7 linked regions of the Callithrix jacchus genome follow. The protein of the gene in region 1 interacts with the protein of each later gene in a biochemical or structural test. Links are inferred from orthologs where the notes say so. Each region holds a gene or a part of one and is shown on either strand. Other genes may lie near its edges. The genes, in order: ITCH, ERBB4, SPART, UBE2K, SMAD3, HNRNPUL1 and CDC34.

The links.
Region 2: the proteins of ITCH (region 1) and ERBB4 form a complex in vitro, tested with the Homo sapiens proteins (2 studies listed by BioGRID, with this or other methods). The link is inferred for Callithrix jacchus from reciprocal best matches to the Homo sapiens genes ITCH and ERBB4.
Region 3: the proteins of ITCH (region 1) and SPART form a complex in vitro, tested with the Homo sapiens proteins (2 studies listed by BioGRID). The link is inferred for Callithrix jacchus from reciprocal best matches to the Homo sapiens genes ITCH and SPART.
Region 4: the proteins of ITCH (region 1) and UBE2K form a complex in vitro, tested with the Homo sapiens proteins (2 studies listed by BioGRID). The link is inferred for Callithrix jacchus from reciprocal best matches to the Homo sapiens genes ITCH and UBE2K.
Region 5: the proteins of ITCH (region 1) and SMAD3 form a complex in vitro, tested with the Homo sapiens proteins (2 studies listed by BioGRID and IntAct, with this or other methods). The link is inferred for Callithrix jacchus from reciprocal best matches to the Homo sapiens genes ITCH and SMAD3.
Region 6: the proteins of ITCH (region 1) and HNRNPUL1 form a complex in vitro, tested with the Homo sapiens proteins (2 studies listed by BioGRID and IntAct, with this or other methods). The link is inferred for Callithrix jacchus from reciprocal best matches to the Homo sapiens genes ITCH and HNRNPUL1.
Region 7: the proteins of ITCH (region 1) and CDC34 form a complex in vitro, tested with the Homo sapiens proteins (3 studies listed by BioGRID). The link is inferred for Callithrix jacchus from reciprocal best matches to the Homo sapiens genes ITCH and CDC34.

The regions. Positions count from the first base shown.
Region 1 is NC_133506.1:4,928,753-4,933,002, reverse strand, and holds the start of ITCH (E3 ubiquitin-protein ligase Itchy homolog), read left to right. Parts: upstream 1-1,450; 5' UTR 1,451-2,417; intron 2,418-4,250. UniProt on the Homo sapiens protein: Acts as an Acts as an E3 ubiquitin-protein ligase which accepts ubiquitin from an E2 ubiquitin-conjugating enzyme in the form of a thioester and then directly transfers the ubiquitin to targeted substrates.
Region 2 is NC_133507.1:134,244,910-134,248,991, reverse strand, and holds the start of ERBB4 (receptor tyrosine-protein kinase erbB-4), read left to right. Parts: upstream 1-1,282; 5' UTR 1,283-1,895; coding exon 1,896-1,977; intron 1,978-4,082. UniProt on the Homo sapiens protein: Tyrosine-protein kinase that plays an essential role as cell surface receptor for neuregulins and EGF family members and regulates development of the heart, the central nervous system and the mammary gland, gene transcription, cell proliferation, differentiation, migration and apoptosis.
Region 3 is NC_133506.1:155,563,591-155,567,090, reverse strand, and holds part of SPART (spartin), read left to right. Parts: intron 1-1,313; coding exon 1,314-1,508; intron 1,509-3,500. UniProt on the Homo sapiens protein: Lipophagy receptor that plays an important role in lipid droplet (LD) turnover in motor neurons.
Region 4 is NC_133504.1:154,118,684-154,122,922, reverse strand, and holds the start of UBE2K (ubiquitin-conjugating enzyme E2 K), read left to right. Parts: upstream 1-1,439; 5' UTR 1,440-1,628; coding exon 1,629-1,691; intron 1,692-4,239. UniProt on the Homo sapiens protein: Accepts ubiquitin from the E1 complex and catalyzes its covalent attachment to other proteins. In vitro, in the presence or in the absence of BRCA1-BARD1 E3 ubiquitin-protein ligase complex, catalyzes the synthesis of 'Lys-48'-linked polyubiquitin chains.
Region 5 is NC_133509.1:14,230,896-14,234,395, forward strand, and holds part of SMAD3 (mothers against decapentaplegic homolog 3), read left to right. Parts: intron 1-1,532; coding exon 1,533-1,745; intron 1,746-3,500. UniProt on the Homo sapiens protein: Receptor-regulated SMAD (R-SMAD) that is an intracellular signal transducer and transcriptional modulator activated by TGF-beta (transforming growth factor) and activin type 1 receptor kinases.
Region 6 is NC_133523.1:36,576,152-36,579,651, reverse strand, and holds part of HNRNPUL1 (heterogeneous nuclear ribonucleoprotein U-like protein 1), read right to left. Parts: intron 3,110-3,500; coding exon 2,987-3,109; intron 2,892-2,986; coding exon 2,763-2,891; intron 1-2,762.
Region 7 is NC_133523.1:497,938-502,021, forward strand, and holds the start of CDC34 (ubiquitin-conjugating enzyme E2 R1), read left to right. Parts: upstream 1-1,284; 5' UTR 1,285-1,489; coding exon 1,490-1,666; intron 1,667-4,084. UniProt on the Homo sapiens protein: E2 ubiquitin-conjugating enzyme that accepts ubiquitin from an E1 ubiquitin-activating protein, and catalyzes its covalent attachment to other proteins by an E3 ubiquitin-protein ligase complex. In vitro catalyzes 'Lys-48'-linked polyubiquitination.

The sequences.
Region 1 (4,250 bases):
TCTGAAGGGTGAATTTTTTTCTTTTCTTTTTAATTATGGCCTTTAATGTACATGGTTAAAGGCTAAGGTAGGCCAGGTGCAGTGGCTTGAATCTGTAATTCCAGAGATTGGGAGGCTGAAGGAGGGAGGATTGCTTGAGCCCAGGTGTTGGAGACCAGCCTGGGCAACATGGCGAGACGGTGGCCCCATCTGAACCCCATCCCATCCGAACCCCACCTCACCCCATCCCTGTCTCTACAAAGGATAGAAAAAATTAGCTGGGTGTGGTGGCGTTCACCTGTGTCCCAGCTACTCAGGAGGCAGAGGTGGGAGGCTTGCTTGAGCCCAGGATTTAAAGGCTGTAGTGAGCTATGACTGTGCCACTGCACTCCAGCCTAGGTGACAGAGTGAGACCCTATCTCAAAAAGAAAAAAAGAAATGAAGAAAAAGAAAGGAAAAGAAAAAAGAACAACTAAGCTATATAGACCAGTGGTTCTCAAATTATGATCTCACTCATAGTAGCATCACTAGAAGAGCTTGTTAGACATACAAGTTATCAGACCCTATCCTCCTTATCCCAGATCTTCTGATCAGAAACTCTCGGGGTGGGGCTCAGCAGTGTACGTTTTTTTTGTTTTTTTTTTTGAGGCGAAGTCTTGTTCTGTCACCAGGCTGGAGTGTAGTGGCGCAATCTTGGCTCACTGCAACCTCTGACTCCTGGATTCAAGCAACTCTTCCGCCTCAGCCTCCAGAGTAGCTGGGACCACAGGTGCGTGTCACTACGCCCGGCTAATTTTTTTTGGATTTTTAGTAGAGACGGGGTTTCACCATGTTGGCCAGGATGGTCTCGATCTCTTGACCTCGTAATCCGTCCGCCTCAGCCTCCCAAAGTGCTGGGATTACAGGCGTGAGCCACCTCGCCCTGCCTTTTTTTTTTTTTAAACGGAATCTTGCTCTGTCACCCAGGCTGTAGTGCAATGGCATGATCTTGGCTCACTGCAACCTCCGCCTCCCGGGTCCAAGCTATTCTCCTGCCTCAGCCTCCTGAGTAGCTGGGACTACAGGCACGCACCACCACACCTGGCTAATTTTTGTATTTTTAGTAGCGACCTGTTGGTAAGGCTTGTCTCGAACTGCTGACCTTGTGATCTGCCTGCCTCAGCCTCCCGAAGTGCTGGGATTGCAGGCATGAGCCACCGCGCCCGGCAAGCAGTGTAAGTTTTAATAAGCTTCCTAGGTAATTCTGATGTACATCAGAGTTTGACAATCACAGTCGCTATAGGCTCTGGTGGGCGAGGCGTTAAAAGAAAAAAGCCTGGATGTGTAGAAAATTGGGATTTAGCAGGATTTACCACCGCTGGCTCTTCAAGCCCGGGGCTGGCCGGTCGGCTAACGCGCAATGCCTCCTGGGGCTTGTAGTCCAGATCACTCCCGCGCTCAAGCGCCTGCGTATTGGCTGCTAACTCGCTCTGGTAGCTGTGGTCGGGGCTCGAGACCGGCTGCCATCTTAGTCTAGGGACTGAGGAGACGCCGCCGCCCCGAGTCCCGGTAAACACCCGTGGGCGAACTCGGGGCAGTTTTCGGGAGAGGGAGGGAGTCCCGATGAGAATGTTCGGGGAGAAGTAGGGCAGAGGAGTGGGACGCGCGGGTCGGGACGCCAGAGCCACGGTTGCTCCTTCTCAGAGCCGGTGTCTGGGGGGCGCGGGGAGCTCGGGCTACCGGCCCGGGTCGGGCCGTGGGGGTGGGTTGGCCGGACGGTCGGAGGGATCAATGCCAGGCGCAGGCTCCCGGAGGCCCTCGTCTCGCGGGCTCCAAGTTGTGAAAGGGCTAGGCCACGACGGGCGTGGGCAGTGTCCGGCCCCTCGCCCCTCGGCCCTTCCTGGGGCCACTCTCCAGCGGCTCGGCCTACGAGTGGGGTCCCCGCCGCCGCGGGCGACGTGGCCCTGTGAGGGGCGGCGACCGGGTCCCCCGCCACCCGGCTGGCCTTCCCGAGACATTTCCGAGCCCCCTGTCGCTAGGAGGGGGCCCAGCACAGCGGCCGCCTCCCCTTCTCTCTGTCCCGCTCCCCTCCTCCTCCCATTGTCCCCTCGGCAGGGTGGTCCTGGCCCCGGCGCTCACCCCGACGCCCGACGCCCGCCACCGCCGTGGCGGCGCCGACTTTTGCAGACGTGGAGCTGTCACTGCCCCTCCTCGGGAGAGTGCCCTTTGCTTTAGCAGAGAAAAGAAAAAAGTAGCCGTTGAACGTATTCTAAGGGCCAAAGCATGATGACATGACTTTCAAGGGGGGAACTCAAGTTTTCCCAGACTTGGTTCCCGGCCGCGGCTTTAAAAGAGAGAATCCGCGCAGGATTAGTGCTCCCGAACTAGACGTTGGGCCTAAAGTTAGTCCGACGTGTGATCAGCTGAACTTGTAAAGTGCCAGAAAGTCACGATCCCCGGTAACAACGACACCTTGTTTTCTTGGTTGTGTTCGTACCCCCATCTTACTACGTTTTCTGCCATTCTTCCACAGCGGCAGTGTACTTGTTTTGGAGTGGGGGGCGGGGAAGTGTGGGATTTTGCCTTGACAACTGGTAAGACACTGGAGCCAGCCATCTATCATTGGACTTAGCTGGGTTCTCCCGCATCGATTCCTAATACGATAATTCGATCTTCAGTACGTGTGTATGGCAGTGTATGTCAAGGTAGTGCATTTCCATTCTCAAAATCAGCTAAGGAATGGTTTATCCGTTGAGGTGAAGTTCTCATGACAGGTCTGGTGAGAGCCTGCTGTGTGTATTTATAGGTTTATTTAAGCTACAGTTCATTTTTAAGATTAAGAAATAGGATGGGCGCGGTGGCTCATGCCTGTAATCCCAGCACTTTGGGAGGCCGAGGCGAGCGGATCACGAGGTCAAGAGATGGAGAACATCCTGGCCAACATGGTGAAACCTCGTCTCTACTAAAAATACAAAAAAATTAGCTGGGCGTGGTGGCGCGCGCCTGCAGTCCCAGCTACTCGGGAAGCTGAGGCAGGAGAATTGCTTGAACCCGGGAGGTGGAGGTTGCAGTGAGCCGAGGTCGCGCCACTGCACTCCAGCCTGGCGCCTGGTGACGGAGTGAGACTCTGTCTCAAAAAAAAAAAAAAAAATTAGAAATGAAGGTGGAAATTCTGCTTCAAAGACTGTGAATGTAAGTTTTGTGAGTGCAGAAGGAATTCCATTATGTTTAGCATATAAGGCAAGTCACCAAGGATATGATATGAAATTTAAAAAATGAGTACTGACTACTTCATTGTATTCTAGAATCAAACATTTCTACATTTTTTTTTTTTTTTTTTTTGAGACAGAGTCTCATTTTGTCACCCAGGCTGGAGTGCAACAGCACGATCTTGGCTCATTGCAACCTCCACCTCCTGGGTTCAAGCAATTCTCCTGCCTTAGCCTCCCAAGTAGCTGGGACTGCAGACGCCTGCCACGATGCCCAGCTGACTTTTGTAATTTTAGTAGAGTCAGGGTTTTACTATATTGGCCAGGCTGGTCTCAAACTCCTGACCTTGTGATCCGCCCACCTCAGCCTCCCAAAGTGCTGGGATTGCAGGTTTGAGCCACCACAACCAGCCACATTTCTGCATTCTTTTTTGAAAAAATGCATCTTTACATCTATTGGGAGAAACAGACAAACCAGTAGTCCCCAATTTGACTGTTAGAATAATTATGAGATTATGAGAGCTTAGAATTTCCAGAGCCTCACCTTCTGAGATTGACTTAGTAGGTCTGGGTTGGCTCCAACAAATTTATTTTTAACACATGCCTTAGGTAATTCTAATGGTCTTGGAAACCACTCAGGGCAAATGTTACTGTAGACTTACCAAGGAAAGCTCAGAAAGCTTTGAGACAGAAGAGGAAGTGGCCAATTCCGTGTGTGTGGCAGGGTGGAGGATTGGTTAGAAAAGGCAAGATTTGTCCCTGAACCCACATTGGGTCTTAGATGAAGAGTAGGAATGTGAAAAGGGCACGGAAAGAGGATAGGGTAGGCAGAGGGAATGCCTTAATGCTGTGTGTAAATTCAGAGGATTATGGAACAAAAAGAGTTCAGTGAGTAGGGAGTAGAATGGGGAAGGAGAGCATTTTGAAACACAACATCAGAAAGGTTAAAGGAAGCAAGTATATGAAAAGTTCTTTTTTGTTTTTGTTGAGACTAGGTCTTATTCTCTTACATAGTCACCTAGGATGGAGTGCAGTGGCAGGACCTCCAGAGCTCAAGTAATCTTCCCACTCCAACCTCCCTGA
Region 2 (4,082 bases), on another chromosome or scaffold:
GGGCTATAGATAAGAGAGTGGGAAACAGAGATCAAGATCTCTAATGAAAAGCAGGGTGGTTTGATTTTTAAGCTCCCCTGATACTTTTTATTTATATATTTGCTGCTTCTAGAAAAACCAAAAACGGAAAGTAATTCATACATAGAATGCCTGTACAAATAGCAAACCAATAACCTACTACCCCCAGGAGATTCTGGCCCTTGCCAGGGTGCAGTTTCATAGCTGTAAAAGGCAAGGGATATGTACATTGAAATGACCCAGTCCCAGAATATTTAGATTCAGAAAAGGTCAGAGATGCTCATAACTAGCAATGGCCTCAGGACTGGGGAGCCTGAATGCAGAGTGTGGACAAGGAAGAGGCCTAAAGCTAGGTCTACTATAGAATAAACAGAATCATTTAAGGTTAATAATGTTCTGATGTGTCCTTAAATTCTCTCAGGCTTGAGACAATTTCTAGCCCTTTAGGATCAAATCAGTGGCTTTGGACAAGAATCTGCTTAATAAGAATGAACTCCAAAGGTGAAAAACCCACAAAATCTAAAAATCAAAGGATAAGGGTTTATAAATGTGAAATTTTAGTTTGGCTCAATGATGGTCAGTTTGGAAATGTGGGAAGAACCAGAGAGATGGCATAACTGGGGCTGGAGCCAGGGTGGTGATTGGTGATTATACACCCACAACTACCTAACCGCAGGGGCTACCAGTTACTTCCTGATCACACTACTTTCTAATTGTGGACCATGAGTGGCAGAGTGCTGCAGGAGGAAGCTTTTTGCTGAAAGCAACATTGAGTTTCCTTTTATTTCTAGAGAAAGTCCTGTCTGTAGAGGAGCATTGGGGGGCAATGGAAAAAACGCTGCCTTCTTGTTTAAAAAAAAAAAAAAAATTTTTTTCCGTAAGCGCCCCTCCGATGGTCTGTTCACTTCGCAGGCCAGCTGTCCCCGGCCTCTGCCAGGGCGGGAAGAGGAGTGCTTCAGTGCGTGGCTTCGGATGAGCCCTTTAAATCCAGCTTCCCCTGCCCCCACCACGCGGCTCCCTCTCCCTGACAGGTGTTTTCCCAACTCCGGAGGCCCTAGGATTTTGGGGAGTGGCTGAGCCAATAAGATTTCCCTTTTGGGGGGGGGGAAGGGCGTGGCTAGTTGGGTCAGAGCATGGGCGGGGTTTGAGCGGCTGAGCAGAGCCTGCCTGGTTGCTTGGAGGGTTGTTTTATTCCCACCGCCCCCCACCTTTTTTTTTTTTTTTTTTTCTGGAGTCTTATTAATTTCTCTGTGGGGCTGCAGCTGGAGACCGCGGAGCGTTGGAAATGACGCTCAGAGCTTTAATTACTGCAGCCGCCGGACAAGTGTGAGGAAAGCTGACAGGAAAAAGAAGAACGGGATCCGGGGAGAAGCGAGAACCTCCCCCCGCCCCGCTCCCCTCCCGATTTGGACTGAAGGTGCACGGAAACTGAAGAAGCAGCCCAACATAGCCCTGCTGTGGGGAGAGGCCGGAAACCTACCGCCTCTTTGCAATCAACTTTTTTTGGAAACCTTTCTCCCCCTCTTCCTTTTTTATTGTTGACCAACCAGTGAGAGAGAGAGAGAGAGAGAAAGTGAGAAGGGAGCGAGCAAGTGAAGGCTCACGCGGGGAAATAGCTGCACAGTCCGGCCCGGAGCGCCACGCGCACACAGGCGCTCACACTCGAACGCACACTCGCCCCCTCCTCGGGCCCCGGCCCTGGACCTGCCGGCGTGGACTCTGTCGCCCGCCCTGGGAGTTGCTACACCGCGCGCGCCGCGCCCGCCCCCCTCGCGCCCCCACGCGCGCCCGGCTGTGGGATCTCCTCCGCGTGCCCGAAAGGGGGATATGCCATTTGGACATGTAACTGTCAGCACGGGATCTGAGACTTCCAAAAAATGAAGCCGGCGACAGGACTTTGGGTCTGGGTGAGCCTTCTCGTGGTGGCAGGGACCGTCCAGCCCAGCGCTTCTCAGTCAGGTGGGTTCCTTCTGGCGCTCCGGTTGCCAAACCTGCCGCCGCCGGAGGGGCTGCCTCGAGTGGCTCCCCTGCCCTCTTCACCCATCCCGGGAGGCGTGCAGGGACCGCTTGACCGGGGGCTCTCGGTCGCCCCTCTTTCCACTCGAAACTTACCCTGTATGTGTGCGCGAGCTTTGTTTACCGCAAAAATCATTCTCAGCCCCTGTCCCTTTTTTTTCTCTCCGTAACCCCCTATGTTTCTCTCCCGAGCATTTTGTGTGGAGCCTAAGCGGGATCCCTTATGGTGGCGCCTGTTGTTCGGGACATGGGAGACGGAAATCCCCAGTCAGAGGAGACTCTCCTGTCCCACTCTGGGCTCTCGAGGGAAGAAGCCGCTCCACCGGGGCCGCGGAAGGGCTGGAGTCCCAGGGCGGTGTTGGCTGGGCCTCTCCCGAACCCAGCCTGAAGGGAGGTGGAGAGTGGCGCTCCGAGAGTCGGGCTGCGCACCTGTGTGTGCTGCCGGCGGCCTCTGCGCCCCAGTCACCCGAGCCTTGTAGGGTCAGACGCGACTAGCGCCCAGCCGGGGCAGCCGAAGTGCAGCGGGCTGGCCCTCTTCGGCCCGGGGACCGGAGCGCCGGGCCTCCTCTGCCAGCTTCCCGGAGCCCTTGCCCCAATGACTTCAGGGGCGCTTGCTGGCCTGCCTGACCTTGAAAAAAGAAAAAGAAAAAAGGGGGAAAAAAAGGGTTGGCACACTCGAGCCAGAAGCCCGGCCTTCCCGTCGGTTGCCGTGTTTGGCTCCGGGAAGAGTTCTTCCTGTAGTTCTACTTGCTGTTGGCCGGAGTCCTTCAAACTTGTCTGTTTACTGCCCCGCGGTGCTGCCCAGCCTGCGGGTCACCGGATCCACCCCAGGCGCGAGCAGCGGCGGCGGCGGTGCTGGGTGCACGGCCACTGCTTGCTAGAGAGCTCGAACCCCAGGTACCTGGGCAGGCAAAGGGCTCATTGACCCCGAGAGACAGCGCGGCGGGGCTGGCGCACCACGGCGTGCAGGACTAATGACAGCACCTGCAGTGCAAGGGAGCTCAAAGTTTCTGACACTTGAGTTTCTTGGGATGAAAGTGGGACAGGAGAGGTCTGAGGAGGACCGCTGTCTGACGCGGCCAAGGGGTGGCTTTTGGAGAGCCAGGGAGATTTCCGAAACCATCCGGGGCTGGTGACTGGAGCGTGGGAGGTAGCTCGAGGTGATAAAGCCCCCGGGAGTGGCGATAGGGAGAGCTTTAGGCCCCTGTAGGGTATCCTGACCTCACCAAGAAAACAGCAAGCTGTAGTTTTCCCGCTCCGCCCCCGCCGCCGCCGCCACCTCCTCCTCCTTTGCCTAGTAAATAACAAGTTACAATCATCGAGCCTTTCAAAATGACCTTCGAATGGCACATGTGCGGCGTTTGTGCTGGCGGTTTGCACCCTCCCAATTACTCCGAAATTCTTCATGCATACCAGGTCCCGCGCTCCAGCCACCTCCGGAATCATACCAACACGGACTTGACATTCCAAGCGGCCTCTTAGATACATCTCTTTTTATCTCCCTCCCCACTTCGAGTCCCTTCATATTTCCCCTCAATGGGTTGATTATGCACATTGACCCATTCAAAGGCAGTGGCGACCGACATGCAGGCTTAACCGAGAGGAATTTCTACGAGGCGACCTACTGGGGACTGTCTGGTTCAGCCTCTGCCATTGGGGGACCCCGCTCCGAGTCCGCAGCAATTTGGTATTAACTGTGCGGCTCCGGGTTGAGCTATGCCGAAAAGCCCTTTTCAGAATTTCAGCAAGGAATGTAATCCAAATTAGTTCTGCAGCTGTCCTCTTCCTCGGCTCAGGCGACACCAGCTAGCGTCTCGCTCCTCTCTTCTCGTTTCCCTGGGCGAATTGTCAGACCCACAAGTGAGCCCATTTAGAGCGCGAGGATTAGCGTGCCATTGTTGTTCCATGTGTGACTCTGTACTTGAAATTCTGGGGGCACAAAGGCGAGTCTCACTTGTTCAAAACACAAAGTGATCCAGATGAAAGGGCCGCACAAAGAAAAGCTCTCGGGTGCATCCCTGGTATAATTGCAACACGCATACTAAGGT
Region 3 (3,500 bases), about 150 Mb from region 1:
TTTCTCAGTTTTCAAGTTCAGCTGATTTCTTCTTATAACTTTTCAACTTATAAGTTAATCTAAAAAGATAATTTTTTTAAATGACTTCTTCAAGCCTTTTATTGTTTATGGGCGCCTGTTTGATTGGGTTTGAATCCTTCACTTCCCCAGAAGTTGATTGTCAGGTAGGACAGTGTGGGCAGGCTTGGAACTGGAGGTGGAGATGTTGACTAAAACAGGAAGAGAAACATAAAATTTCTAATTATTTATTACATGCCAATTTTAAAATCAACTGGTATGATAGCTGGATGCTCACTCATGGGTTGGAGTAATCATATACAACCATGCCACAGACCTTGAGAGAACACTTAAGTATTTCATATGTTTAACTTTGAAAGCTTATTGTTAAGGGTTAGCTAAAAAAGAAGTATTTTTCAGTTGGAAGTCTCTGCAAAGTAGGGTAGTACTTTTTCCCATCTTAGGGGACACTGTTCTTGTATATTTTTTCTTTTCTCATCCCTCTCCCGCTCTTCCTTTCCCCACATTCCCACTGACTCAGGACCTTTTGTCCTCACTAGAGAAGGCCCTTCCATCCTTCTGTTCCTCTAGTGAGCACTTCTGTCATTCAAGCTGTGAGAAGCATAAGCAAACCAAAGGGCTGGGCCACTGTCATGAGGAATGGCTAAATTATCTGGGCCTCTCTCTTCTCTTGTAGATTTTCTCTGCTCATGCATTTGGGTGTTGCCATGTTTATGTCACTTGTAACAAGCTAAACGGTGCTGAGATCCAAGAGTTTGGGTTTAGGATTGAGAAGGGAACAGGACCCCCTGACTAATGCTTTCAGCCTAAAGGAAGTAAGAGTTCTGCCTTGGTGTTTGAGATAACAGATTTCCATTTTGTGATGTTTCTGTCTTTCTCCCTCAGGATTTCATGGGGAAAAGTGGTGCCTGGCCTAAGGCAAAAAGACCAACAGTGTCTGGGTTCCTTAGCCAAATCCTATTTTAATGGCACCAAAACTCAAAGTTAATACCTAACAGTAATATACTGTGGTAAGTAACATACAGAGATACCTACAAGTTGTCGTGGCAGCATAGAGTAATGCAGAACTCTGTCACTGAGTGACATGTGACCTAAGTATTCATATATTAGTTAGAAAAGGTATATATTCTAGGAAGAAAACTGTAGGTATAAAGTTAGCTTGAAAGTTTATGACGTGGCACATTTAGCATCTGATTATCAAACTCCTTTTATTTTTTGCTGGTTGATGTTATTAAAGTGTTTAAAAGTATAATTAGACCTAATATTATGGTATTTTAAAATTTTCTTTTAAAAAGGTGCTTCCTGGGTGAGTTGGGGTTTAGTCAAAGGTGCTGAGTTTACTGGCAAAGCCATCCAGAAAGGTGCTTCTAAGCTCCGAGAACGGATTCAACCCGAAGAAAAACCTGTGGAAGTTAGTCCGGCTGTCACCAAGGGACTTTATATAGCAAAGCAAGCTACAGGAGGAGCAGCAAAAGTCAGTCAGTTCCTGGGTAAAGTAATTCTAGATAATTTTACTTCTTTAAAGTTAAATTTAAAATAATGTCTTGGTCCAGGTTTAATCTACATGTTCATTTAGATGGTTTAATCTCAAGAATAAAGAATCAGGACAAAGCAGTTTCTCTTTGTTATTCATAGTGGGACCTGCAGACCAGCAACATCACATGGGCCTGTCTGGAAGGCTTAGAAATGCGGAATTTTAGGTACAGACACACCTACTGATTCAGAATCTGCATTTTCACAAGAGATCCCTAGGTGATTCTTATTTGCATATAAAAGTTTGAGAAACTGGTTAAAGGGTTGTGTTGATGTGTTGGAGTGGAGAATGTGTGTATCTTTGAAAAAGAGTTCTGAATGTACAGTCATGTATTGTTTAATGAGGGGAATAAGTTCTAAGAAATGTGTCAGGTGATTTCATCATTGTGTGAACATCATAGTGTATACTCACACAAACCTAAACGTTACAGCCTCCTCCACACCTAGGCTATATGATATAGCCTGTTGCTCCTAAGCTACAAACCTATACAGCATGTGACTGTACTGAATACCATAAGAAATTGTAGCACAAAGGTAAGTATTTGTCTATTTAAACACATGTAAACATAGAAGAGGTACGGTAGGACAGTAGGAGTGCAGTATAAAAGATGAAAAATGGCTTAAAACCTAAGAGAGCACCAACCAGGAATGTCACTTGCAGGACTGGAAGTTGCTCTGAGTGAGTCAGTGAGTGAGTGCTGAGTGAATGTGAAGACCTAGGACATGACTATATGCTATTGTAGACTTTCTAACTGTACATTTGGGCCACACTAAATTTATTTTTAAAACAAAGTAATTGCACTATGATGTTAAGGTGGCTGTAATGTTACTAGGCCATGGGACTTTATTAGCTCCATTATAATCTTATGGGACCACGAAATGTCTGAAATGATCAAAAGGTCATTATGCAGCACAACTGGATGTGAACCCTTGAATCCTTCTAAGGGATACGACATATTCTTTCAACGAGAACAGTTTATTGCCTAGCAGTTGAGGGTCAAGAGGGAGTTGTTGTTTGAGAAAAGCTGACTTAGTGATTCCGGTGCCAGCCCTCCCAAGCAATATACTTCTAACCCCTTGCTCTTAGAGAATCACAGCACTGAAATTTGGTGTTTTGAGATGGGTAGATAGGACCTTAATGCATTATCATTAAATTTAGTAAAATTATCTTTTTTGTTATATAGTATTTTTTGAATCAGATCTTGGATTGTTTACTTTTATAGAATTAAATACTTTACTGTTATTTCACTGAGATCATGGAGATATTTATTGGTAGAAAAACATGAATACACGAGGCCAGGTTCAGTGGCTCATGCCTGTAATCCCAGAACTTTGGGAGGCCGTGGTGGGCGGATCATGAGGTCAGAAGATCAAGACCATCCTGGCTAACATAGTGAAACCCTGTCTCTACTGAAAATACAAAATATTAGCCGGGTGTAGAGGCACGCACCTGTAATTCCAGATACTCAGAAGTCTGAGTCAGGAGAATCACTTGAACCCGGGAGGCGGAGGTTGAAGGGAGCCAAGATTGCGCCACTGCACTCCAGCCTGGGTGAGAGAGCGAGACTCCATCTCAAAAAAAAAAAAGAAAAAGAAAAAGTGAATACATTAAGCTGGAAAAAACTAAAAGTACTGACCAGTCTTGCATTGTAGCAGTCAAAGAAAAGGCAGCTGGTTTTCTCAAGCAGAAGTACAAGAACATGCATATCTGAGAGGCAAGGTTATAAACATTGGTAGGCTCTGCAGACACAGCTTTAAAACAAACAAAAGCCATTGTTTAAAAAATAGCCAGTCTGTGCTACATGCCTGTAGTCCCAGCTACTCAGGAGGCAGAGGCAGGAGGATCAGTTGAGCCCAGGAGTCCAAGTCAAGGCCAGCCTGGGCAACATAGTGAGACCTCTGCTCTAAGCTTCATATCCTTAAATAGAAATTGTAACATTATATGGTAA
Region 4 (4,239 bases), on another chromosome or scaffold:
ATCATTATTACTATGAGCCTTAGAAACCACTCTAAAAAAAAAAAATTATTATTATCTTTAGAGATGGAACTTCACCATGGGGCCCAGGCTGGTGTCCAACTCCTGGGCTCAAGCGATCTGCCACCATCGGCCGCCCAAAGTGCTGGGATTACAGCACTGAGCCACCGTGCCCGACCAGAAACCACTTTCAAACTGACTTTCCACTTAAAGTATTTTGCACTTTTTGTTCTGTTTTGTTTGAGACAGATCTGTCGCCCAGGCTGGAGTGCAGTGGCCCGATATCGCTCACTGCAACCTCTGTCCCCGGGGTTCAAGCGATTCTCCTGCCTCAGCCTCCAGAGTAGCTGGGATTGCAGGCGCCCGCCACCATGTCTGGCTGATTTTTGTATTTTTAGTAGAGACGGGGTTTTACCATGTTGGCCAGTCTTGGTCTCGAACTCCTGACCTCAAGCGATCCGCCGTGGCAGCCAAAACATTTTACTCTTACGTGTACTCATTTATTCATTCAATATTTATTGAGTGCCTACTAGCACCAGGCACCTTTGTAGGCCTAGGTTTACAGAAGTAAAGCTCCCCTCCCCCACCCCCAGTGCCCTGAAAAGCACTATAATTGTTTCTATTTCTCCAATTTTCACTTTTATATGAATTTTCACATGCTTTAGTTCAGACATGGGCACAAGAATGAGTGAGAGAGAGAGTGTGTCTTGGGGCCATCCTACACTCTAGGGATGGGCACAGGAGTGAGTGTGTATAGGAGTGGGAGTATGTGCTCGCGCGCGCGAGTGTGTGTGTGTGTGTGTGTGTGTATCAAGCTCTGTATTATCTAAATAGGTCAAAGATCAACATCTGGCTTCTAGATCCATCATCAGGCCTCTCCACGTAATACCTGTCTCAAACCGGATCTGATTCAACAATAACCAGCCTTAATTCAATAATCTGTGCTACCTGAGATGGTGGGAATAATCTTGGTACTATAAATGTTGCAGAACAAAAACGACTGCAGCGGATTTTCTGGGGCTACACCAACTGAAAATGGGCCGGATCGAGTTCCGGGAGAGCGTTTTCCTGCACTAGACGTTTTCCCGCACCCGGCGTTCAGCCACCGGGTTCCGGGTCTAGCTGAGTCAGGAAGGCGCTCCAGCCGATTGCGGCCTCGGGAACCGTTCGGTTGCACCCGAACCTTCGGTCAGAGTCCAGGGGTTGGCAGCCCGGACCACAGCACCCGGGTTTAAACAGAAGTGGAGGCGCCGGGGAGGACCGGCGGTCCCGGCCAGTTTGGAAGGCGCACCCTCCCGGCTCCAGACGCCGGCAGGGCGGAGTCAAGCGGCCGCAGCCCCAGTCGAGACGCGCGCTCGTGGCTCGGGCGAATGGGGGCTACAACGGGAGCGGCTGCGCCGCCCGGCCGGGTCAGCATCATGCGCATGCGCGGACCCGGCGCCATTTTGGTGGCCGGGCGCGGAGGTGATTCCACACTGAGGAGAGCGCGGTGGCCGGGGTGGTAGTGGCAGTGTTCGTGTGCTCGGGTCTGAATCGCTGAGGGAGGAGGCGGTGGAGGAAGAGGTGGCGGCGGTGGCGGTGGTCGTAGCGGTGGCGGAGGAGGCGGGTACGAATCAGCTGCGGGCGGAGACATGGCCAACATCGCGGTGCAGCGAATCAAGCGGGAGTTCAAGGAGGTGCTGAAGAGCGAGGAGGTCAGAAATGAACTCCCGGACATCCCCCACCTCTGCCCGGGCGGGAGGGTCCTCCCAGCGTGACCCCGATATCCCCGGTAGTCCCTGGGTGGCCCTCCTTGCGGCCGCCCTTCTGCCTGTGGGGAAGCAGTAGTGCTCCCCTCCTCCTTCCGCCGCCTTCCCCTCCCCTCCCACAGCGCTAGGATGGACGGTCTCGGCGGGCGGGGGGTCTGGGGTGGAACACAGTTTGGGGAACTGATGGACAGGGGGGAACTCCTCGGCGGGATGGAAGCTCACGAGAGAACCCGAGGCGGTGGCCACAGCTGGAAGTGTGGCTCTGGGGTGGGGAGGGAGCAGGCCGAGCCCGAGAAAACCCGGGAAGTGGGTTGGGGGAAGGGGAAAGGTGGTAACTGTATCCGGAGGAGCCGGTGCTGCTCTAAGGCCCACACTTTTGAGGATATTCTGGGTTATTGCCTGTCAGGCCGTCACCGTCCTTTTCTTAGGGAAGGAGCGGTGAGTCCTTAGGTATCGATTAAAAAGGAAGGACATTCAGAGTTAGTCCTTCTTAGTTGGGTGTTAGGAGTCAAGGGGAGAATAATAGAATACTGTCTTATTCGGTGGCAGGGATAAGGGAATTTTCACCTCTGTTAGCAAGTTAATTCCAAATGAGATCGTTATGTCTTTTCCACTTTACCCCCAAATTCCTAGGCCTCGTCTTTATCGACATCTCAGTCTTTGAGTGGGCAAAGGCAAGGTGTTTGGTGTATTAAAGACATTTAAATATTTTTAGTTAGAAAAAAAATGGAATGTAAGAGTAGCTTATTTCAAAATATTGTTTACAAGTTACAGATCAGAGAGACTGTCCTAATACAGTACCTCTGTGACTAGTGTTGTGCCACGAAACTTCATTATGATGTCCCTCATAGTTAACTTGATTCTTACTTTTGAAAAGTAGACCTATTAAAAACGTGTGCTTTTACCAGATTAATACACTGTTTTATCTCTTTATTGAGTAGATTTATCACGATATAGCAGATTTTCAAAAAAATTGCCTCCCGTTGCTCTTAAATCCTGCAGAATTTAGATATATTAGTACGTTTAAGTAAGATATTCACAATGCTCTAGTAATTTGACTCAGAATTACATAAGTATTAGTACAGTTTTTCATACCAAAAATCAACAAGAATACCAGATTGCCTTCCCCACAAGGATTAAACAAAAAGTAATACAGAAAATGGTTATTTTCAAGATTCACGTACCATTATTGAATATATCGTTGCTTTTGTGTTTTTTCTTTTACGGTTAGTACTTCGATAATGTCGATAGTGATTAGTGAAATTCAGCATTCTAAGTATGTGATGAGTAGACATGAAGAAAAAATTGTTTAAAATTCAAAAATGACAAATAGGCTTCTTGAAAGTAGTAGTATGTAAGTCATGATCAGTTTTACAGAGCATGTGTATGAACTCTGACCTCTGTTCATATGCCAAAACTCTGAATGGAAGGATGACTTTGTATTTTGTGGTACAGTGCAGAAACAGAGTCATAAGTGTTTGTATTGATAACAGTGAAACAGCAATTTTAACTTAATATGAAAATGTATTCCAGGATATTTGACATATATACTTCTAATGGAAGATAGCAGCTAATATTGTTGCCAACAACCTAAAACATTTCTTGTTTAATAAGGTTGTAGAAGCTTGAAACTTAATAGACTTTTAATGCTTTATTTTCTATTACTGAAAAGTGGTAAGTTACTACTCTAGTAATTTATATGGTCTCTGCTTTTTATGAGCTGACTTCACCGTGGTATTCTTAGTACTTAACTTGAAGATTACCAGAAATACTTGTATTGCTCTCTAGTAATGCATATTGTTAAAATAACACTGCTCATTATACATAAGGGATGATGGTTTACTTCAAATAAGTATCATAAGCGTTTCAGAAGAAGAAAATAGGGACGACAAACTTTTTTTTTTTTTGAGAACAGTACCTATAGAAATATGGAAAGAAACTTCTTCTAGGAAAATAAGTTGCAAAGAACATTTAGGAAAAGTTCACATCACTTAATCTTGGAATAAATATAACCAATAAATAGCTTATTTTCACCATTATTTTTTGACATTTTAGTGTCCCAGATCTATAAGTAGATTGTTATTTTCAACTCATTGAAGGACTTGTAGTACAGTCCATGTGTTTCCTTTTTAAGGGTGTAAATCCAGTCTTTTGAATGGCTGATCAAATAACTATTTCATCATGTCACTTTTTTGGTAAATCTGCACTTTACCAAAGTTTATTTCATATGCTTGTGTGCTTGTGTTTAGTAAGAACACTGGTTGATTTAAGGACTTTTTGGGGTGGCCTTTTAAGTGTCTTTGTAGAGATAGCTGACGCTTGTTGGATTGTGGTGGCCATTCTTAGAGTGTGTTAATTAAAATACAGCCAACAAGATAAATGTGAAAAGCAAGATACAGAATAGTGTGGGAGAGGCCACCATTTGTTTCAAATGGAGGGGAATATGTGTATTTGCCTGTGCAGGTAAAAGGTTTCATGAGAAATTGGAAAAATT
Region 5 (3,500 bases), on another chromosome or scaffold:
CCTAGACCCCAAAAGGGGATCAGGGCACTCTGTCCAGCAGGGGCAACCAGGCCCCTTCCTGTGGGCAGAACAGCTTTTGACTTTTCTCTCTTGGGCTCCACATACCTTCAGTAGGTCTGATGAGCAGAGGTCCCTGGTGGGCTCTCTCCTAGACATTGCCCGGCACCCAGTGAGCAGGGTTCTCAGGCCAGGGCTGAGATGTGAGCATGGTGAGTCTCTCCTGCTCCTCCTGCATCAGAGCCCTGAGCTGAAGGTTGAAGAGAGGGAGGAGAGATGTCAGCCTGGGCCCTAGGACCCCGTGGTCAGGTTGGACAGTCAGGATGCTCACATAGAGGTGCACCCTCAGTAACTGGGTGGCTCCAGGTATGTTTAAGAGCCAGAGGGACTTCAGAGCCAGGCTGAAGGTTTGAGATGGAAGAGTGCAAATGAGTAGGGGGGACTCCCTGATTCTTCAGCACATGGATGGGAATCAGGGATTCAGGTAGGCATCAGGCAGAGTGTGTTAGGCTCAGGGCTCACACCTGGCAGTCAGTGCAGCACAGAGCAGTTGGAAATGGCTGGCATGGGGTGCAAGGCAGTCCTGGTCCAGAGGCTGTGGCATCAGTGTGAGTGGGAGTTCCAAGGGCACAGCGCCACGGCTGCTGGGGCAAGAGAAGGGCGAGGAGGCCCCAGGAAATGGAGGGCTGGGAAGTGTCCAGTGTGAGGAATAGCTACCATTTACACTTCTGAGAAAAGGCAGCAGCCCCTTGCAGGGTGGCAGTTTTGCTTTGAGGAGCCCCTGATGGAGGCTGTACAGACAACTGGGACCAATCCCAACTTTCTTCAGCCGCATTTGTGTCCTAGCCACCCCAGCAGCCAGCATCTAAGTAAATGTGGAAAACAGTTTCTGTGATAACAGACGTGGCCCCGGGCTCAGTCTGCAGACGATGCCTGGTGTGTCCACTGTGCTGATGTGGTGTGCCTTTGGAAACCCACTCAGCTGCTGTAGGCTTGGAAGGTGCTACTCCACAGGCCTGGAGTTTGCCCCTAAGGCTGTGCTGAAAGCCCTTTTAGGGGCAGGGATTAATGTGGGTTACTCTGGGGATCTTGCAAGAGAGGCTGGGAGGTGACCGTGCAGAAGCCATGGCCTGCCCCATGGTGAGTGCAAGCAGTGGCTGCCCCAGGTTCATCCAGGTACTGGGAGGTCCCCTGGTCCTCTTCCGGTTTGACCTAGCCCCTCCTTGAAGACTCCCTCCATCCAGTCAAGGCCAAGCAGGTGGGGCAGGACCTCTATGAGCTAAGAAAAAAAAAAAAAAATCAATGGCCCTTTACACCGATACCATGGCAAGGCTGACAGAATCTCCTCCAGACACTGGAGCATCTTGTTCTGGTGGGTCCTGCCAGTTTTATACAATAAAAGGCATGGGGTAGGAGAGATTATTAATACCCTCTAAAATGCAGGGAAATGGTTTTCCAGAGCTTCCATGGGACCCCATCGAGGGAGCATGGGCCTGGGGCACCCACTGACCCAGGAGCCTACTCTGTGTCCGCAGACCTGCAGCCAGTCACCTACTGCGAGCCAGCCTTCTGGTGTTCCATCTCCTACTACGAGCTGAACCAGCGCGTCGGGGAGACGTTCCATGCCTCGCAGCCATCCATGACTGTGGATGGCTTCACCGACCCCTCCAACTCGGAGCGCTTCTGCCTAGGGCTGCTCTCTAACGTCAACAGGAACGCAGCAGTGGAGCTGACGAGGAGGCACATTGGTATGGGCTGGCTGCATCCCCTGCCGTCCCCATCCTGTCCCCACTGCTCTATCCCCCCTGCCAGCCCTAGGCCCCAGCACACTCTCTGCATGGAACCCTGCCTCCATCCTTAGCTGTGCTCTGCCTCCTGCTGGGAATGGGGGAAGACTCACTGCCCCGAAAGGACCCCACATTCTCTGTTGCCCTGTTTAGGGGCCAGATGGGTAGTGTTCAGGCCAGTTGATCATTCCCACTCAAAGATACAATCTCGGAAAATCTGGAGGCCACAGAGGAAAATACTTCACTTAAGGGATCCAGAAAGGAGCATCTATGAGAAAGGCAACATATGAAATCTTTTTTTTTTTGGTGGGGAGCCACAGTCTCTCTATCCCCTAGGCTGGAGTGCAGTGGCATGATCTCGACTCACTGCAACCTCTGCCTCCTGAGTTCAAGTGATTCTCCTACCTCAGCCTCCTGAGTAGCTGGGATTACAGGCACCCACCACCACACCCTGCTTATTTTTGTATTTTTAGTAGAGATGGCATTTTACCATATTGGCCTGGCTGATCTCAAACTCCTGACCTCAGTTGATCCACCTGCCTCAGCTTCCCAAAGTGCTGGAATTACAGGTGTGAGCCACTGTGCCCGGCTGAAATCCTCTTAATAAAAATACCCTGAAAGTACAGATGGATAGGTTGATAAGCAGGCAGTCATTGTTGGAAGAGTGATCTTTTATTTTCATGTATTATTATTCTAGACAATTTAGGTAGAAAACAATTGTTCACTATCCAAACACAACTACTGTGAACATTCTGCCTTCTAGCCCCCAGAACATAAGTAAAAGATGACTTTGTGAGTTTAAGGAAGATGAAGCTGTGTTACGCTTCACTTGGTTTGCTTATGAAGTTACCGTGATTAGAGGATTTTTAAGATCCAGGATCATAGACTGTCAGAACTTAGAAGGGCTGTAGAGAGATGGTGGAGTGAGGTACTCTCAGACCTCATCCTGGAGCCCCAAGGGTTGGCCGAGGGGTTCCCAGGGCAAACTCAGGAGCTGGACAGGTCAGCAAAGGGAAGCCTGGCCCCACGTGAACCAGAGCACCTCTGCACTCGCTTCATCTCTCGTGCTCTCACAGAAGACTTCATTTGAAGAGAGGACTGATTGTGTAGCGAAGAGAAGAAAAGTTTGGAGGCCATGGGCCTAGGTCTGTGCTGTCATTTTCTAGGGAAGGGACCTGATGTCTGGTGGGGGTGGGAGGAGGGTCAGGGCTGCTGGCTCTGCAGAGACTGGCATCGTCACTGACAGATAGCCGCCACTACGAGACCCGTTATTCCTATTTTGCTTTTTGTTTTTCACTTTAAGAAAGATACTTATTCTGGGTGGCATACCACTGTTTGATTGATTTAGAGATAGTCTTGCTATGTTGCCCAAGCCAGTCTCCAACTCCTGGGCTCAAGCCATCCTCCCATCTTTGCCTCCTGATTATCTGGGACTACAGGCATACACCACTGCAACTGGCTTTTTCCTATGTTTCATATATATATAATTTTTTTTTTTTTTTGAGATGGAGTCTCACTCTGTCACCCAGGCTGGAGTGCAGTGGCACAGTCTTGGCTTCAGATACCTAGGCATCTTGTTATGGTGGGTCCTGCCAGTTTTTTTTTTTTTGTTGTTCTTGTTTTGTTTTGTTTTTAAACAGAGTCTCACTCTGTCACCAGGCTGGAGTGCAGTGGTGTGATCTCGGGTCACTGCAACCTCTGACTCCCTGGTTCAAG
Region 6 (3,500 bases), on another chromosome or scaffold:
TTCCTACCTCCAACAGAAGACCCTGAAGAGCCACCTGAAGCAATGTGGCCTTCTACTCCCCCTTTCCCTCTCCTCTGCAGCCTTTTACTAGCCAGGCAAATTTATCTACATTCCTCCAGCTGAAAATATGACCATGACTCCCCACTCCCTTCAGGACAAAGCCCCGGCTCTTTTAATCATCCTCTGTGTCCTGACCCAGACATTCCACCTCCAGAAAGCTTCCCCAAATTCCCATCATGGCCCCAACCATTCTAGCCTATGGCTGCTTGGGAAGTCAGCAGAGCTATGATCTATCAGTACACTGGCTGTGTGGCTTAGCAGTCCTATAGTCCTCTGTAGAGGCCTAGGTTTCCTCCCTGGTCCACCTCTTTTCTATCTTTTTCTCCTCTGATGTTCCACAGCTGTGATGCCCAAATGATCTGAAGAGGCTACTCAGGTTATCAAAGAATGTAAGTCAAAGCCCCAATATACCTGAGAGCATGTGCCCAATAACATACATCCAAGGGTGTGGGTTAGAGTCCAGGCCAGACAAAGGCAGAATCCTGGCTTACACAGGCCCACCTAGCTTCTGCAGTCAACCTCTCCTTCTCTCTCAAGGACAGGCATTTCTGAGGCCAACCTACCTAACAGGAGGCCCAGAAGAGCCAAATGTGGGGAGGTCTGACCACTCAGGAAAAACCAGTGAAGGCAAAACATGGTTCTGGGCTGAGGTTCAGGAACTGCAGGGACTTTGCCTATAGTATGGGTTTCCCCTTTGGAAATTCCACCTAGCCCAGGAGACAGCTATGCATCATCAACTTACCCATCACTGCCAAAGCTGGTGGAGTAGAAGTGCCAGGATTGGCCAGAGGCTTGCTCTGAACCTTCTATACACAAACACATAACTTCCCTCTCCCTCCCTCTCATAACCAGAGTTTTCTGGAACCCACTTTTGGGATTTAGGCCAAAACAGGTGAAACCACTGACTTTACACTCCCTCCCTCAGCCTGAGTAGCCTATGGTTTCAGGCCCCGAGTCAATCCTCCAATCTATGGTTAACCAGAGAACCCTCCTCCCCAGCCTTCAGAGTTTAGGTTCTCTGTCTCACTGTTGGCCCAGATCACTTGGCCGGACCCACATGTCCCTTCAGCAGGAGGCTGGTAGCCCTGAAGACCACAGACATACCTGGTACAGCCCTAGACCCTGTCCCTGAACAAGCCAGCAGCAGCCAAGAAGGCTGACAGTAAGTCTTCAGAGTGCGCAGCTGACATGGGCCTGGCTTCCAGAGAAAAGCCACTTCAGCATCCTGGACAGAGATGTTAGACGATCCACTCTAGACTATAATCATTCTCCCCCAGGGCCACATATTTGAAATGGGTTTCACAGCTGATATAACCAGCAAACCAAGAAAAAGACAGGCAGGGAACATTGACTGGGGTGTCCAAAGAGGTATATATCCTGTGTTAAAATGGTGTCACTGCTCTGCCTTTCCCAACAACAAATCCAACTGGGGTCAATTCAGACTAAAATTCTAAAATGCCCTGACAAGAAGGATCAGGCAAAGTGAGGAAAACTGGGGGAATAACCACGGAAGGATTTTAGACTACCCTGTGCTCAACTGTTTTGTGTAGGATCCTCATTCCTACATGAAGGCAACTTGGTTCTAGGCAATTCCTTTCCAACAAGCCAACTACCATCCTGACAAAGCCACTGTCACCACCTCCACTGTTATCAGGAACTCTCTGAATTCATGGTCACCGAGTACCCAGGCCTAGCTGTATGGAAAGTACTTCAGGAAGGCAACAAGGGCAGGGTGTTACTCAGTTTACATTATTTGCTCACTCACAGGTCCTTAAACCACAAATGCAAGGCTGAAGGGAACAGAGGCTTATTCAGATATCCAAATATAGAAAATAAGGAAACACCCTTTATTACTTGTGAAAGCCTTCAGGACAAATGTCAAGTATGACGCTGCACAGGCAATAACCATGTGGAACTCATTACTCTGACACAGGAATCTGTAACGATTTTTGGGTCACTCATCCTTTTGAGAATGCTGAAAGATATGGACAAAAAGCTATGTAAGGTTTTTTTTTCTTCTTTTTGGTAAAAAGGATATACCTGCACCTGCATACAATATTTATGTTCAATTGCAAAGGTTTCAGGTCCCCTGATATTAACAACTCCACTATTAACTGAAATGTAGGTAGAAAATATGACTTAGGTATGTACCTGCCAGTCACCGTATTTGTGAAGAGAATATGATGGAAGCAGTAACAGCGTTTACCTTACAGCACTGCTGTTGGAATTAAAGGTACTCTACTTATTCTGCAGAGTATTTAACAATAATCACCAGCTACTAAGTGCCAGGTCCTGTGTCAGGTGTGCAGATGCTATAGTGATCCCCGTTTTACCAACAAAGACATAGAGATTTAGAGGATAAAGTCAGCTGCCCAAAGGCACAGAGCTAGGGAGTGGCTGAGCTGGGATTCAAGCCCCAGTCTGTCAGGCTCAGAAATCCATACTTCTTCCATTTTGCCAAACAGTTCTCACCTGATATTCTTTGGGGCTGCTGATGAGTCTGAGTAAGTAGGCCTAGATCCCAGTGCGGATTCAGCTGGGTCTAGGACATGACATCATGTATGACACAGTCTGACCCCCCCCGACTAGCACAGCAGTCGATCACCATTACGGGAAAGAAAAAAAGGGACCAGAGTGGGCTTCCCAGGCATGGCAGGGATCCCATCCCTTCTCCTGAGGACACAATGGTCATCAGTAAGTACCTGATCTAGGATATAGTTGCGTTTCTTGCGGGCAGCAATCTGGATGAGGCGGTTGAGGCACTGGGTGGCCTGCTGGATGAGGACATCCCAGCGGCCAGCATAGTTCCGCTGCCGGCGTAGGCCCATCACCTGCAGGCAGGAAGTGGTGAGGGTAAGTGGTTTTAGTTGCAGGCAGCACTCGGTAGGTGGGAAATGAGTAAGGAGAGTCCAGTAACTGTCCTTACCCGCATCTTATCCATGATGGCATTGGTACCCAGGATGTTGTACTTCTTGGAAGGGTTGGAGGCTGCATGTTTGATGGCCCATGTGGTCTTGCCAGCAGCAGGCAGGCCCACCATCATCAGAATCTACAAGAATACAAGAACAAGACAGGGGAGGTGTTGCAGCATGGTGGTGTGGTACCACTTGGCTCGCTGGTGACTGTGAGTGTGACTCTGAACCTCTGAACTACGGCTGCCTCTGGAAAGTGGACGCAATAACACCATCTACCTCACAGTACTGGTATCAGGATTCAAAAAGATAAGGCTTGTCAGACTCTGTGCACAGCACCTGGGACAGGGTAAGCATTAAGTCAAGGGCTGGCCAGGCATGGTGGCTCATGCCTGTAATCCCAGGACTTTGTAAAAACAAAAACAAACAAACAAAAAAACACCAAGTGCTGTCATCATTAGCATTGATAGAATTTTGTTTTTTTGAGACAGGGTCTCACTCTATTGCCCGGGCTGGAGTATAATGGCC
Region 7 (4,084 bases), on another chromosome or scaffold:
TTTAGGGCAAGGAACAAGTGGGTGTCTGGGCAGACACTCAGCCAAAAGTCGGGTGGGGTCACAGTGAAGCCCAGCACCAGGGCCCACGCTGGGAGCAGGGAGCAGTGGGTGGGTCACGTCTGTAATTCCGGCACTTTGGGAGGCTGAGGAAGGCAAATCACTCTGTTAGTTCAAACTCCACCCTGGCCTTCCTTTCAAAACCTAACACACTTGAGGTCAGGAGTTCGAGACCAGCCTGGCCAACATGATGAACCCCTTTGTCTACTAAAAATACAAAAATTAGCCAGGTGTGCTGGCCGAGCGTCTGTAATCCTAGCTACTAAGGAAGGTGAGGCAGAAGAAATGCTTGAACCCAGGAGGCGGAGGTTGCAGTGAGACTCTTCCATTGCACTCCAGCCTGGGTGACAGAGCGAGACCCTGTCTCAAAAAAAAAAAAAAAAAGACTCGGCTGGGACAAAGGTCAGCCTGGGAAGAGGGCACAGCCAGGCAGGGGTTCAGCTTGGGGTGGGGGATCCGTGGGGCTGAGGTCTCTCCCGGGTCAGGCGCTGAGCCGATGCTGGCTGGACTGAGTCCGCCTCTTTCCCCGTTTTTCTAGGGAACAGGGACCCCTCGGCAACCTCTGATGGCTCCAGCGCCTGCACCGGCTCACACCACGTGGGGACTTTCACCGGGAAGTCCTCGCTGTCTCCCACCCCTCGGAGCCCTCCTGACCCCGCCCACTTCCCAGAGCCCCCGCGGTGCGGGAACCCGAGGCAGCGCTGCGCCCGGAAGCCGGGTGTCCGAGTCCCCGCCGGGCGCCTGGCTGCCACCCGTCCTGCCCTCCGCGCGCCCGGCGTTCCCCAGGACAGACTTCGCGCCCGTCCCCAGTACAGACTGGGGACCGGAAGCCGGGACGGACCTTCCGGCCCGGGTCAGGACACCACCCCGCGCCGCGTTCACCGCCCGCGGCCCCGCCCCGTGCCGGAACGTCACAAAACGACCCCAAAGCCCGGGGGCCGGGCCGGTGGCGGCGCAGCACAGCTTTGGCTGCCTCCCTGCGCACAGCATCTGCGGTGCTGGTGGAGCTGGGGCGACGGCGGCGGCCTCGGGGTCGAAAGTGCCCAGGACTGTGCGCTCGGCCACTCCATCCCGGCGGCGGGGGCGGTAGGCGGGGCCGGGACGGGGACTCCATTTCCCGGCGTGCCCCACGGGCGGGCGCGCAGGCGGAGGTCGGGCCTGGCCGCGGCGCGCAGGCGCAGTCCGGGCCCGGCGAGGCGCGCAGGCGCAGCGGGGGGCGGGGCGCGCGGGCCGGGCTGAGGCGGGCGCCGGGTGGTCTACGGCGGCAGAGCTGGTGGAGCGCTCGGGGTCCCCGGGCGGCGGCGGCGGCGCAGAGGAGGAGGCAGGCGGCGGCTCCCCCCCGGCCGGCGCGCGGCCCGGTCCGTCTCGCGAGCTCGCGGTGGTCCCGCCGCCCCGCGCGGCGCCGACCCCGGGCTCCTCCGCCGCCGCCGCCATGGCCCGGCCGCTGGTTCCCAGCTCGCAGAAGGCGCTGCTGCTGGAGCTGAAGGGGCTCCAGGAGGAGCCGGTCGAGGGCTTCCGCGTGACCCTGGTGGACGAGGGCGACCTGTACAACTGGGAGGTGGCCATCTTCGGGCCCCCCAACACCTACTACGAGGGCGGCTACTTCAAGGTGAGCGCGGCCACCCCGCCCCGGTCCCCGAGCCCGCGAGCGACCTGGGGCGCCGGGGACCCGCTCCCTGCCCCGCAGCCTCCTGGCTCGGGCTTGTTTTTTCCTGCGGCCACGGGACCCCCCGCCCCCAGCTCTCCGGCCCCTCCGCGGTCACTCTCGGGGTCCTCGAGGATCCCCAACTCCCCGGAAGGCGCCGTCCGGCCCCCTGTTAGTTTCCCGGGCCCCCCCCCACCCCGGATCACCGGGCGTGAGACTGTTGCCGGCCTCCTCCTCGGGGGGCTCGACCCCGGCAGCCCTGCGGGAAACGGGGAGCGTAGCCAGGGCCGCCCCGGCCTTCCTGCCGCCTCCCCCCTCCCCGCACGACCCCGCAGCTGCCATTGTCGGGGAGCGAGGCCAGCCTGGGGGCGGCTGGCGCGGCCTCTCGCTCGGGCTCCAACAAAGGCCCGGACGGACTTTGGCAGCCGGGACCTGCCTGGAAGGCGGCCACCCTCGCCGACAGCAGCCGGGCCAGGCGCCCTGGGTTCCGGCCCGGCTTTATGTAACCTGCGCGCTCGGGGAGGCCGGGGCAGGGGCGGCCTCCCGCCTGCTCCCCGCAGCTCTCCGCGGCCCCGGCTCCGACCCCAGAAGCTGCGCGCTCCGCTCATCCCAGCTGGCCTGGGCCTCTCTCGGGTTCCGCGGAACAGGTGGCTTCTGGTGGCCCGGAACCCGGGTTGTGGGCCGTTTCTTCCGCCCTCTGGCGGCTCGATTCCCAGCGGTTTCCCGGTGTTTTTGTTGTTGGGAGCTGGGAGGCTGCTTCCGTCCCGGGTGAAAGGGATTCAGGCCACAGCCTGGGCGCGTTTCTTGATCTCTCCGTCCAGACGTGACCTTTGACTTTAAAAGGAGTCACAGGACTCTGCTGTTGGGGCCAGAGGGGCAAAGCGAGGGGCCCCGTGTCAGAGGTGGGGAGCGAGCGCCCTGCCCAGGATGCCCCCTCCCGCTGCCACTGCCTGCCAAGAGCCTGGGCACGGCCCTGCCCGCTCTGCCCTGGCTGGAGGCCGGGTGGGCAGCAGAAGCCTCAGCCCGGCCAGCTGTGGGCATGGGGCCGAGGGGCTGATGCCTCCCACGGGGTGAATGTCTGTGCTCTGGGCCGCTTAAGTCTGAGCAGCGCCCACTCAGCGGCTGTGAGGGCAGCAGCCTGGTCTGCTGGGGGTGATTCCTGAGCTGAGGTTCTGGCTCACAGCAAAGGGTGGGACGTCCTGGGTTCTGCCTCTGCAATCCTGTGTCCCCCCACACGGGGTTTTGGGCCTGCAGGTTGCCAAATGGTTTCTGCAGCCCCCCTCCCCCAGCCCCTTTTGTCTGCTTGTGGGAGCAGCTGGCTGTGAGGAGGGGCAGTTCCACCTCGAGGCCAGGCCTGTGAGGCGGCTGCTGTTCTGGAAGGAAGGGATGCCGGTTTCTGGCTGCTGCCCACCAGACAGGTTGCCAGGGATTGTGGGCAGAGGCTCCTGGGCAGTATTAGGGGATAATCCAGTTTTCCGGATTTCCTTGGGAGGGGGCCTCTGGACATCTGCCGCAGGGTCAGTCCTCAGAAGCCAGTGTTGAGACATGGGGGTGCTGCCCCCACCAGGACCCTCCCTTCCCGATGTGCCAGGGCAGGAATGGGGGTTATGTAAATCCAGGAGCTATGGAGTGCCAGGGCCACCACTGCTGCCCAGCCACTGCCTGCAGCTGCTGCGCCTTCAGGTGCCGGAGTCAGCCCTGAGGCAGGCATTGCTGGAGAGACCCCTCTGCAGCTAGCTTGCTGTGTGCCCTTGGCGGGGTGCTTTCCCTCTCTGAGCCTGGATTTGCTCCAAGTAAAAGGCGTTTTTAGAGGTGCTTAAAGCAAGAGGCTCATTGGGACTTGGTGGGGTTTGGTACAGATGAGGCAGGTTCTCTGTGCTGCTGTTGAAGCCTCAAGCCCAGCACCAGGCTTGGCGGGGGCCTGAAGTCTTGGGGAACTACTGGGCAGTTCTGAGGCCAAAATTCCAGCCTTCCTCTGTGGCCTCAGCCAAGCTACTTGCCTCACGGGACCCCAGTAAGTTCCCTGTCAAACAGAGAACATCCCCCAAGAACCCCTGAGTGCCCATCCTGTCCAGGAGGGGCCTTTCCAATGACTGGCTTTTGGGGAGTGCTGCCCTGAGCGCCTTGGAGTGCTGAGTGCCCCCAGGACCCCTGACCCAGACATGCCTGGCGTGCAGCCAGCCAACAGAGAGGCTTCTTTCCTTGTATACCTGCTGGGGCCCGGGAGGGCCGTGGATGACATCACGCCCCAGGCCACAGGCCAGACCGCTCTGTCACCCAGCACGTGGCTGAGCTCCTCATTCCGTGGCCACCCTTGCCAGAAGGCTGGGCGGCCGTCTTGGGAGATGCTGATGGGGAACAGGTCCTGCCAGGCTTCTGTGA